2 linked regions of the Schizosaccharomyces pombe genome follow. The protein of the gene in region 2 purifies or fractionates together with the protein of the main gene of each other region. This does not show direct contact. Each region holds a gene or a part of one and is shown on either strand. Other genes may lie near its edges.

Evidence for each region.
Region 1: the proteins of sws1 (region 2) and rdl1 purify together in Schizosaccharomyces pombe (affinity purification with western blotting, with the first as the bait; one study listed by BioGRID). This does not show direct contact.

Annotation. Positions count from the first base shown.
Region 1 is NC_003424.3:2,007,596-2,011,402, forward strand, and holds rdl1 (RAD51D-like protein 1), read right to left. Parts: upstream 1,553-3,807; 5' UTR 1,247-1,552; coding exon 554-1,246; 3' UTR 501-553; downstream 1-500. Other genes in the region: exosome RNA helicase subunit Mtl1, read left to right, coding at 1-335; RNA-binding protein involved in heterochromatin assembly Dri1, read right to left, coding at 2,310-3,807. UniProt on the Schizosaccharomyces pombe protein: Involved in homologous recombination where it functions at an early stage of recombination in a pre-recombinogenic complex with rlp1 and sws1. Also has a role at a later stage of recombination in association with the rhp55-rhp57 complex.
Region 2 is NC_003423.3:1,492,876-1,496,840, forward strand, and holds sws1 (SWIM domain-containing Srs2-interacting protein 1), read left to right. Parts: upstream 1-1,954; 5' UTR 1,955-2,080; exon of another isoform or gene 2,081-2,142; 5' UTR 2,143-2,276; coding exon 2,277-2,906; 3' UTR 2,907-3,136; downstream 3,137-3,965. Other genes in the region: random septum position protein, DNAJ domain protein Rsp1, read right to left, coding at 194-1,678; aminophospholipid translocase regulatory protein Ivn1, read right to left, coding at 3,221-3,965.

The sequences.
Region 1 (3,807 bases), on a different chromosome or scaffold from region 2:
ATCTAACGATTATTGAAGCAGCAAAGCGCATAGCAACCGTTTCGTTAGAAAGTAAGCTTCAATTTAACGAAAGCGACTACCTCCATCAGTTTAAGCCTGACATTATGGAGCCTGTATCTTTATGGATCAATGGAGCCTCGTTTCAAGAAATATGCATTGTCTCCAAGCTTTATGAAGGTTCAATTGTTCGAACGTTCAGGAGATTAGATGAGTTGTTAAAACAACTTGAACATGCTGCTATTGTATTAGGCAATAATGAATTGAAAGAGAAGAGTGTGTTGACTGAACAAAAGTTGCATCGTGATATCATATTTTCGGCCTCTCTATACCTCTAAATTTGTAGCGAAAGTTTGATATTGACAATGATCGTTTGGCCTATCAAATATGATTTCGATTTTGTGCAATATTCTTTTTATATATGTTAGTTTTAATTCTTTATTTAGAAGTGTTATCTACAGATTTTTATTGAATGTATAAAAAACAATATCATTAAATAAATCCTTAATAAGTCATCTACATATTTTTTAAACTTTGATATTTTGGGGTAGTATACTCATGATGGACTGTTGAGCGTAGATGAGTGATACAGACTTGGTGATACATGCAATTTAGATGAAACAGAGACAGGTGTACCATTGTAGAAATCAATAGTCAAATATTCGTGAGTAAACGAACCTTTAAGGAGTAAAAAAAGTTGTGAGCAACCTAGTAAATCTTTACGACTTTGGTTGCAATGTACTAAACATTTATTATGCTGTTGATCTTCTAGAATATATGAATGGTCAAGACAAAATGGCCAGCTGTTTCCCAGCGCTGGTTTGGAAAGGTGGAGTTGCTTTATGTACACAAGAGAAGTAGATAAGTATACTGCTAATCTGAATTTTCTGGTAAGGATTCGGCATTTTCTTCCTAAAGTCATCATGAATGCATGTGCAAAAGATATATTGCCCTGAGCCATTAACAAACCAATGGGATTAGAAAAGGAATCTATACACAATGCATATGCTTGATCTTCGGAGCTTTTGAGATTGCTTTCCAACTCATCAACTGCATCCTTCAATCCCTGAGCATCGAATGATCTAACCAACATAGTTTTTTCAAGACATGGAAGAGGGAGTGCAGCCGGATTGAAAGTACCTAAAGTATCAATCCACATAATTCTATCAAACCTAGAGTAATAACTTTTTAGAATCCAGTAAAGCATCAAGTTTGCAGAATTTCCACTAAATTGAGTAACCTGATTCATAATGTCAGAAAATATATAAGCTGCTTTAAGAATTTGCTTGGTATGCTTTAAACTTTCGATAGAATTGTTTTTTCCAACGATATTGATGATCAATGAAATTGATTTTTGCAATCATCCCCTGGTTATGCTAATGGCATTCTAAAAGAGATAAACACCCAAATGCGTTGAAGGAAAAGATACGTACAATCGTCAAAAATTTCCGGAATGTTCAACAAGTATTTAACTAATCATGAGTGTGTGTTGAATCTTATCTCATGTTTTTTGTTGAACTATCTACATGGATTATATTTAATTAGGGTATGGATTAAAGAAGCAGAAAGGTCGTCAACATTCGAGTACAGTATATAGCCACACTGGTGTGGATTTGTATATATTGAGAATAACCCTTTAAGAATAAAAAGAAAAAATAGAAAAGCATCAACTAACTGTTTTTAAATGCTACATATGCGAATTTAATTCTCTCTAATAATGCCATGTATTACAAGTAACCTCATGTATCGATTGATTTAATCATTATCGTTACAAAATTTTTATAAATTATATAATAAAAAAAAGGAATATTAACAATACATTATTTACCGAAGAACCCTATAAATTTGAACAGCACTGACAACTGTAAGAGGTAAACAACCATTTTTTCAAACGTTCAATGAGTGTGACACTCCAAAACAAATGAATCCCCAAATCCCAAATATGGGAGAGCTCTATACGATTGACTGCTGTTTTTTCCCCGAAAATTTCTTCAAGGTCAAAAATTAAATAGCACTAAATAGAAGAAAAAAACCCACCAAAGAAAATTATGAACTAATTTTGACCACACCTGTAATTCAATGTTTATGCAAAACCTTCATAAGAAAACCCAATACAACTTTTAAATTTTTGTTCCAATAGAGTTGCTTTTCAAAATGCTGCCTTTAAATAATAACAATTGTTTCATCAAATTTGCTCCTTCAAGACATAAGTGATTATTTTTATCGCACTAATCACTTGCATTTTTAGCTATAGTGTTTACCAAATATCCTTTGTACTACGGGACCTATCCATTAAATATAATTGTCCAACTTTACACGTAAGCATTGAAATCCGAAGGCAAGGATGCAGGAATCTGCATATTAGAGTAATGCGGAGCATTGCAACGGAGACAATTACTGCGGCGACGAAAATTAGTAAATCCACACTCACATAACCAATCGCCTTGATCAGTAGTAACGGAAGGACGTGATACTTCTTTAAAGCGTCCATGATCATCGAACCTAGATACATTACCACCATTTTGTCCCCCAAAATTTTGACCATGATTAGCCGTTACTGAATTTATAGAAAGTTGTGAGTAAGGATACACCGAATGATTAGGAGGACTTGTACTCATAACAGGGGGGATGTGAGAATATGAATTATGACTATACGAACCATTCACCGGCCCAGATGCATGATCTGCTACGACTGCAGCTGTAGCACGGCTAGCCCCACAGCGTAAGCAGCAAACATTTTTTGCGAAATTGTGATATCCACAACCCTCAGAGCCACATTTCCAATCACCAGCACGAAAAGGGACATTACCACCGAATGAGCGTGAAGAATGATGATGATTTACAGCATTATTGCCATTCTGATGCTGAAGATCACTTTGCATGGTATTTTCGTTAGAATGATGGACAGATCCACCATAGTTGGCAATAAAGTGAGAGGAGCCGTTGCCGTATGAATTTCCATAAGGGAAATCAGGTGAAAAAGTATTGCTACCAGTAGCAGCTGAAACATGAGTAGGACCAGGAAATGAGCATCGGAAACAAGACGTTCGACGTTGAAAATTGCTGAAACCGCACATTGGGCAATTCCAATCCCCAGGGCGTGGGCGATTCTTACTAGAAGGAAAAGGAATTAGAATGTCTGAAGCTTTATCTAAAACCTTTGTACTACTGGGAATAATTTCCAGCATCCGATCTCCTAAGCAATATCCATTAAAGGCAAGAGCATCGGCAGCATCTTCATGACTAGCAAATAGCACAAAACCTGTACCCGTAGATTTGTAAGGTTCGGGAGTCTTTAAAGTCCATAAAGCTACGGGATGAACCCCATGATTAGTAAACCAACTTTCCAACTCGAGCTGTGTTACATCGTTGGTCAAACCTGCAACGTGTACAATTTTTGACCGTTCTGCATAAAAGCTTCGTGCGTCTGCTTGACAGTTAATGGGTTGTGTAAGCACCGAAGGAAGAGAATGACCTCGAGAATCTTTCTCTGCTTTACGAAGCAATAAGGTGGTAGCATTTGCAAGGCGCCAGCATTGAGTAAGACCTTTGGTTATGTAAGGAGCATCTGAAGGTGATAATTCAATTGCTTTTGACTCTGTAATAGGTGGTAAAGAGTCGACATCTAATTTACCAAAAATATGAGAAAGCGTTATTGTGTATGGTGGTACTGCACCCATGCGAATCTGCCACTTGGCGTATTCGCTTGATAAATCAAACAAGCGAGGATGGCGCATGTAGGAAGGTAGCGTAATTCCCTGATCCCGTGCTTCTTTTGGCAATAATACACGAAGCTCTCTTCCATTCATA
Region 2 (3,965 bases):
CCCTGAGTAAGCTATTAAACACATGCCCTTTTTACAAAGTCGTTGGTTCTGGTGTATGCTTGAAGTATGGGTAAGTGAACTGGGTAAAAAATAATATTAATAAATTGAATGTTAAACGTTATGAAGAAGAAATAAAATTTTCAAATAAAAATTTTAATACTAAATTTAATACTTAATGAGGAAATAATAATCATTATATACCAAAAGATGCGAAAAGGCTTTCCTTTAAAGATTGTAGTTCTTCCAAAGCTCTCAAATGCATTTGTTCATATGCATAAAATAACTGTATAGCTTGTGACCCTTCCTTCCAATTATCAATTAATCGTGATTGTCCAGGAGTATTCATTAAGTCGAGTTGGAAGCATTTATTTTTGAAGATTTGCCATTGAAATGCATACTGTGTATAAATGATAGAATAAGACGACCAGCGTCTCTGATACATTTCAAAGGAATTTAGATAGCTATCTACAGAGGCATTAGTCAGGTTTCTCGGTGCCTCTGGAGGGATGGGTGCCTGGATAGTTGGAACGGATGGAGGTTTGGGCAGCACTTTAGCAACTTCATCATCATCCCCTTCAATGGCAAGGGATCTCAGTATCGACTGAAGCTGGTCATCATACTCAGTCGAGTTAGATGTTGAATCGTTCTCTGCGGACAAGTCATTTAGCTGAGACCGAGTTTGATTTCGAGAAAGAGAAGAAGATTTAGAACGACTTAAGGGCTTAGGGGGTAAAGGTTTAGAAGTGGGATGTCTAAATGGAATTTCAGGTTTTGATGGTGAATTATTATCAGAATGCTCAAGTTTTATTTCAGGTGTGATATCAGTTTGATAAACGGATGGGTGCTCTGGAGTGTTTGGAGAAGTAAAAATAATAGATTCTTCAGATGTATCTTTAAAACGTTCATTATTTGATGAAGAAGAACTTCTTGGAGAGGATTTTGTTATTGAAGAATTTTCAACACCATTGGAATTCAAACCATTGGATATCTCAGACAACGGAGTATAGGTGCGTCGCTTTTCACGAAGCGATTCTAAATACAACTTGGCATTAAATTTATTATAGTTAGGGCCTTTAAAACGAGGACTACTAGAAATTGGATCCACCACGTTTTCAGTAGCATATCCATTCTTCTTAAAAATTGGAGACGTTTTTGGATGCAAATAACCAGATGATATGTAGCTTTTTGAGGTAGATACCTCTTTAAAGCTATTGTTCTTTTCCATTTTTCCGGAAGCGGAAAAAGATCGATGAAGTGAGAAGTTTGTGATATTGTTATCTTTCGAATCTACGTTTTCCCGGTCTTGTTTCTTCTTTTTTTCAGCAAATTTGGTAGCCATTGTGACACTAACCTTGGATGCAACTTTCGTGGAAATATCATTCTTTGGTCCACTTTTTTTTGGACGGAATCGCAGCACCCCATCAGGGCGACCGGCTTCTAGTAATCTTCTTTGATCAAATAACTCTCGAAGCTTTGGATCCTTTAAAACTTCATGAGCTTTTTGTATCAACTGAAACTGTGGAAGAACCTCGGCTTCCCGACCGGGGTTACGATCGGGATGGTATCGTAAAACAAGCTTTAAATATTGCTGTCGAATTTCGACATAACTACTGGTACTTTCCGCTCCAAGGATGGTGTAATAATCCACAAATTCATCATGAAACGCCGTCCTCGCCATTCACGAGCCTTTAAAATATGCGACACCTTTCTTAAAAAGATAAAAAAGTTTGAAATTGGTTTATAAAACTTTTAAATTTCACCCAAGTAATGAAACCTTTGTAACTAACCGATTTTTGAGGTTTTCCTGAAACTGCTCGAAATAGTGTTTTCGACTTAAATTAACTTGTAAAACGTTCGTTCCTTTTTCTTTATTTTCGCAAATATTAGTTAAGAAAAATAAAACGAGTTAAAAATTTTAACGATTAAACTCTACTTTGTATCTTCTATACTTGACTAGAGCAAACAAAGACACCCCTCGAATTTGTGATTTTTACAACTTCATTAGTTTATAGCTTTGCTACGTGTTTTCCGCTTATTAGAACAAGCGAAAGCAAAGCAGATTTTTGCTGTTTTGCTTTTGGTAAGAGTTGATGAACAAAGAAGTAGTGATACTTTGAAACGAATTTGCTAATCTTTTTGAAGAGCCTATTCAATCATCCAAACTTGTCAGCATAAGTCAATAAATTAGATTATTATCTTCATTGTCATCAATTGTGTTTTCTGGATGTTGTTTGAGCTTTATGTTTTGGGGCATTGCTGAGTCTTAATAAACTTCAATGCAGCAGGGTCATTTTACTTCGAATAGTTACCACAGTAAAACTTTAAATAGTTCATCTCTACCTGTATCTTCAAAATTTTCTCACACTAATGATCCTGATGTTGAAGGCGTTGACAATGATAGTTTCTCCAAGGCATTGTGTAACAAAGATTTAGATCCTTCTTCCACTATTCGTTCAGTTATAAGCTCTTTATTAGATTCTTTACAAGATAAAGCGCTCCAACAGTCACCCAACACCTCTTTGTCAAAATTACTGTTGGAAGACCAGGATTTTGGAAGCTTGTGGTTGTCATTAAGTTTTATATTTTGTAACTACTGGCAACCTGCTATGCTGATTTTGGATTCTAAAAGCATTCATCCACTACCATTAACCGATGGTGAAGTTTTACATCGATGGGAATGTGAAGTGGATTCGAATAATAAAACTACGATTGATTTGAAGTATTGGTATTGTTCATGCTCTCAATTCTCTTACAATGCTTTTAATAGCTCGAGATCTTTTGACGAGCCAATGCCCAAAAATGAGCAAGAAACCTGGGGTGGAAGATGTCTTTCCCACCACCCTACGATTTGTTCCCATATTTTAGCTGCTTCGATTTTACGTGCTTGCCATAATCTGGTAATTTAAAAAACGTTAACCCAATTCGTTTAATTGTGACTTGACTATGATATTTAACAGTAAGGGCCGTTTAAATTGCTTTCTCAATGTAAAAGAAGAAAATACGATATGATATTCATACAACGTGATTAAAAAAAAATGTCTTATTCAGATTATGTTATGCTTTAGTTATGATGCAAGTTCATGAACCCTGAACTGGTATAAAAAAGAGAATATTGTAAGTGGAAGACGAAGCTAGCATAAGTGATTAAATGGAAAGTAAATTCCAAAATGTTCATGAAGTAGTATATGTAAAAATAAATGGTAAAGATACTCAAATTCGTTTATGAGCTTTTTCCTCTATTCCAAGATAGATATCTTGGATCGCCTACGCGTCTAGGTTTGATCAAGCAAGCAATACTAAGGATTACACCGCTCGCGGCGCAGAGCCCACCGATAACAAAATAAAGAATTCCTAAAAAGTAGTTCTTTCCTCCAATAACGGATGTTGTTGAAAACATAATAGTTTTCGTTCCTTTATATTCTGTGACAGGAAAGTTATAAGTGATATTCATTTCATAAATGCCAGGTTGAAGTGCAGTAGTAACGTTTCGAAGAGCAAGTTTGCTGAATGTTGGAAGAGCAGCAGCTCTCATCCAAATTTGAAAGGCATCCCATGTAGAAACATCGGGAATATTGTCGTCAGTATATCCATTGGGAAACATTTTTGCCCAATTTGGAGGTGGAACAATTTGGGAAGCATTGTACTTAGTTTTTTTGTATCTTTCTCTATCTTCCGGCCACGCAGTACCATTTGTAGTCATATTGTAAAGTCCAAGGGAATTTGAGCTATCAAAGGATTCGTATCGTAGAAGAGAAGAATAGCTATCGTTGAAAAGCGAGTTTGCGATAATGCCACAGGGGTAATAAGGTTTCCCTTCCTCATTTGCTTCTAACGGCTTGCAGAAACCATAGCTCTTCAGTTGTGCAACAGTTCGTGCTTCGCCTAGCAACTGAAACATATCGGCGCTAACAGTATATCGACGATGGTTTTGATAAAAATTTTTGAGACGATAAAAAGCAAACACG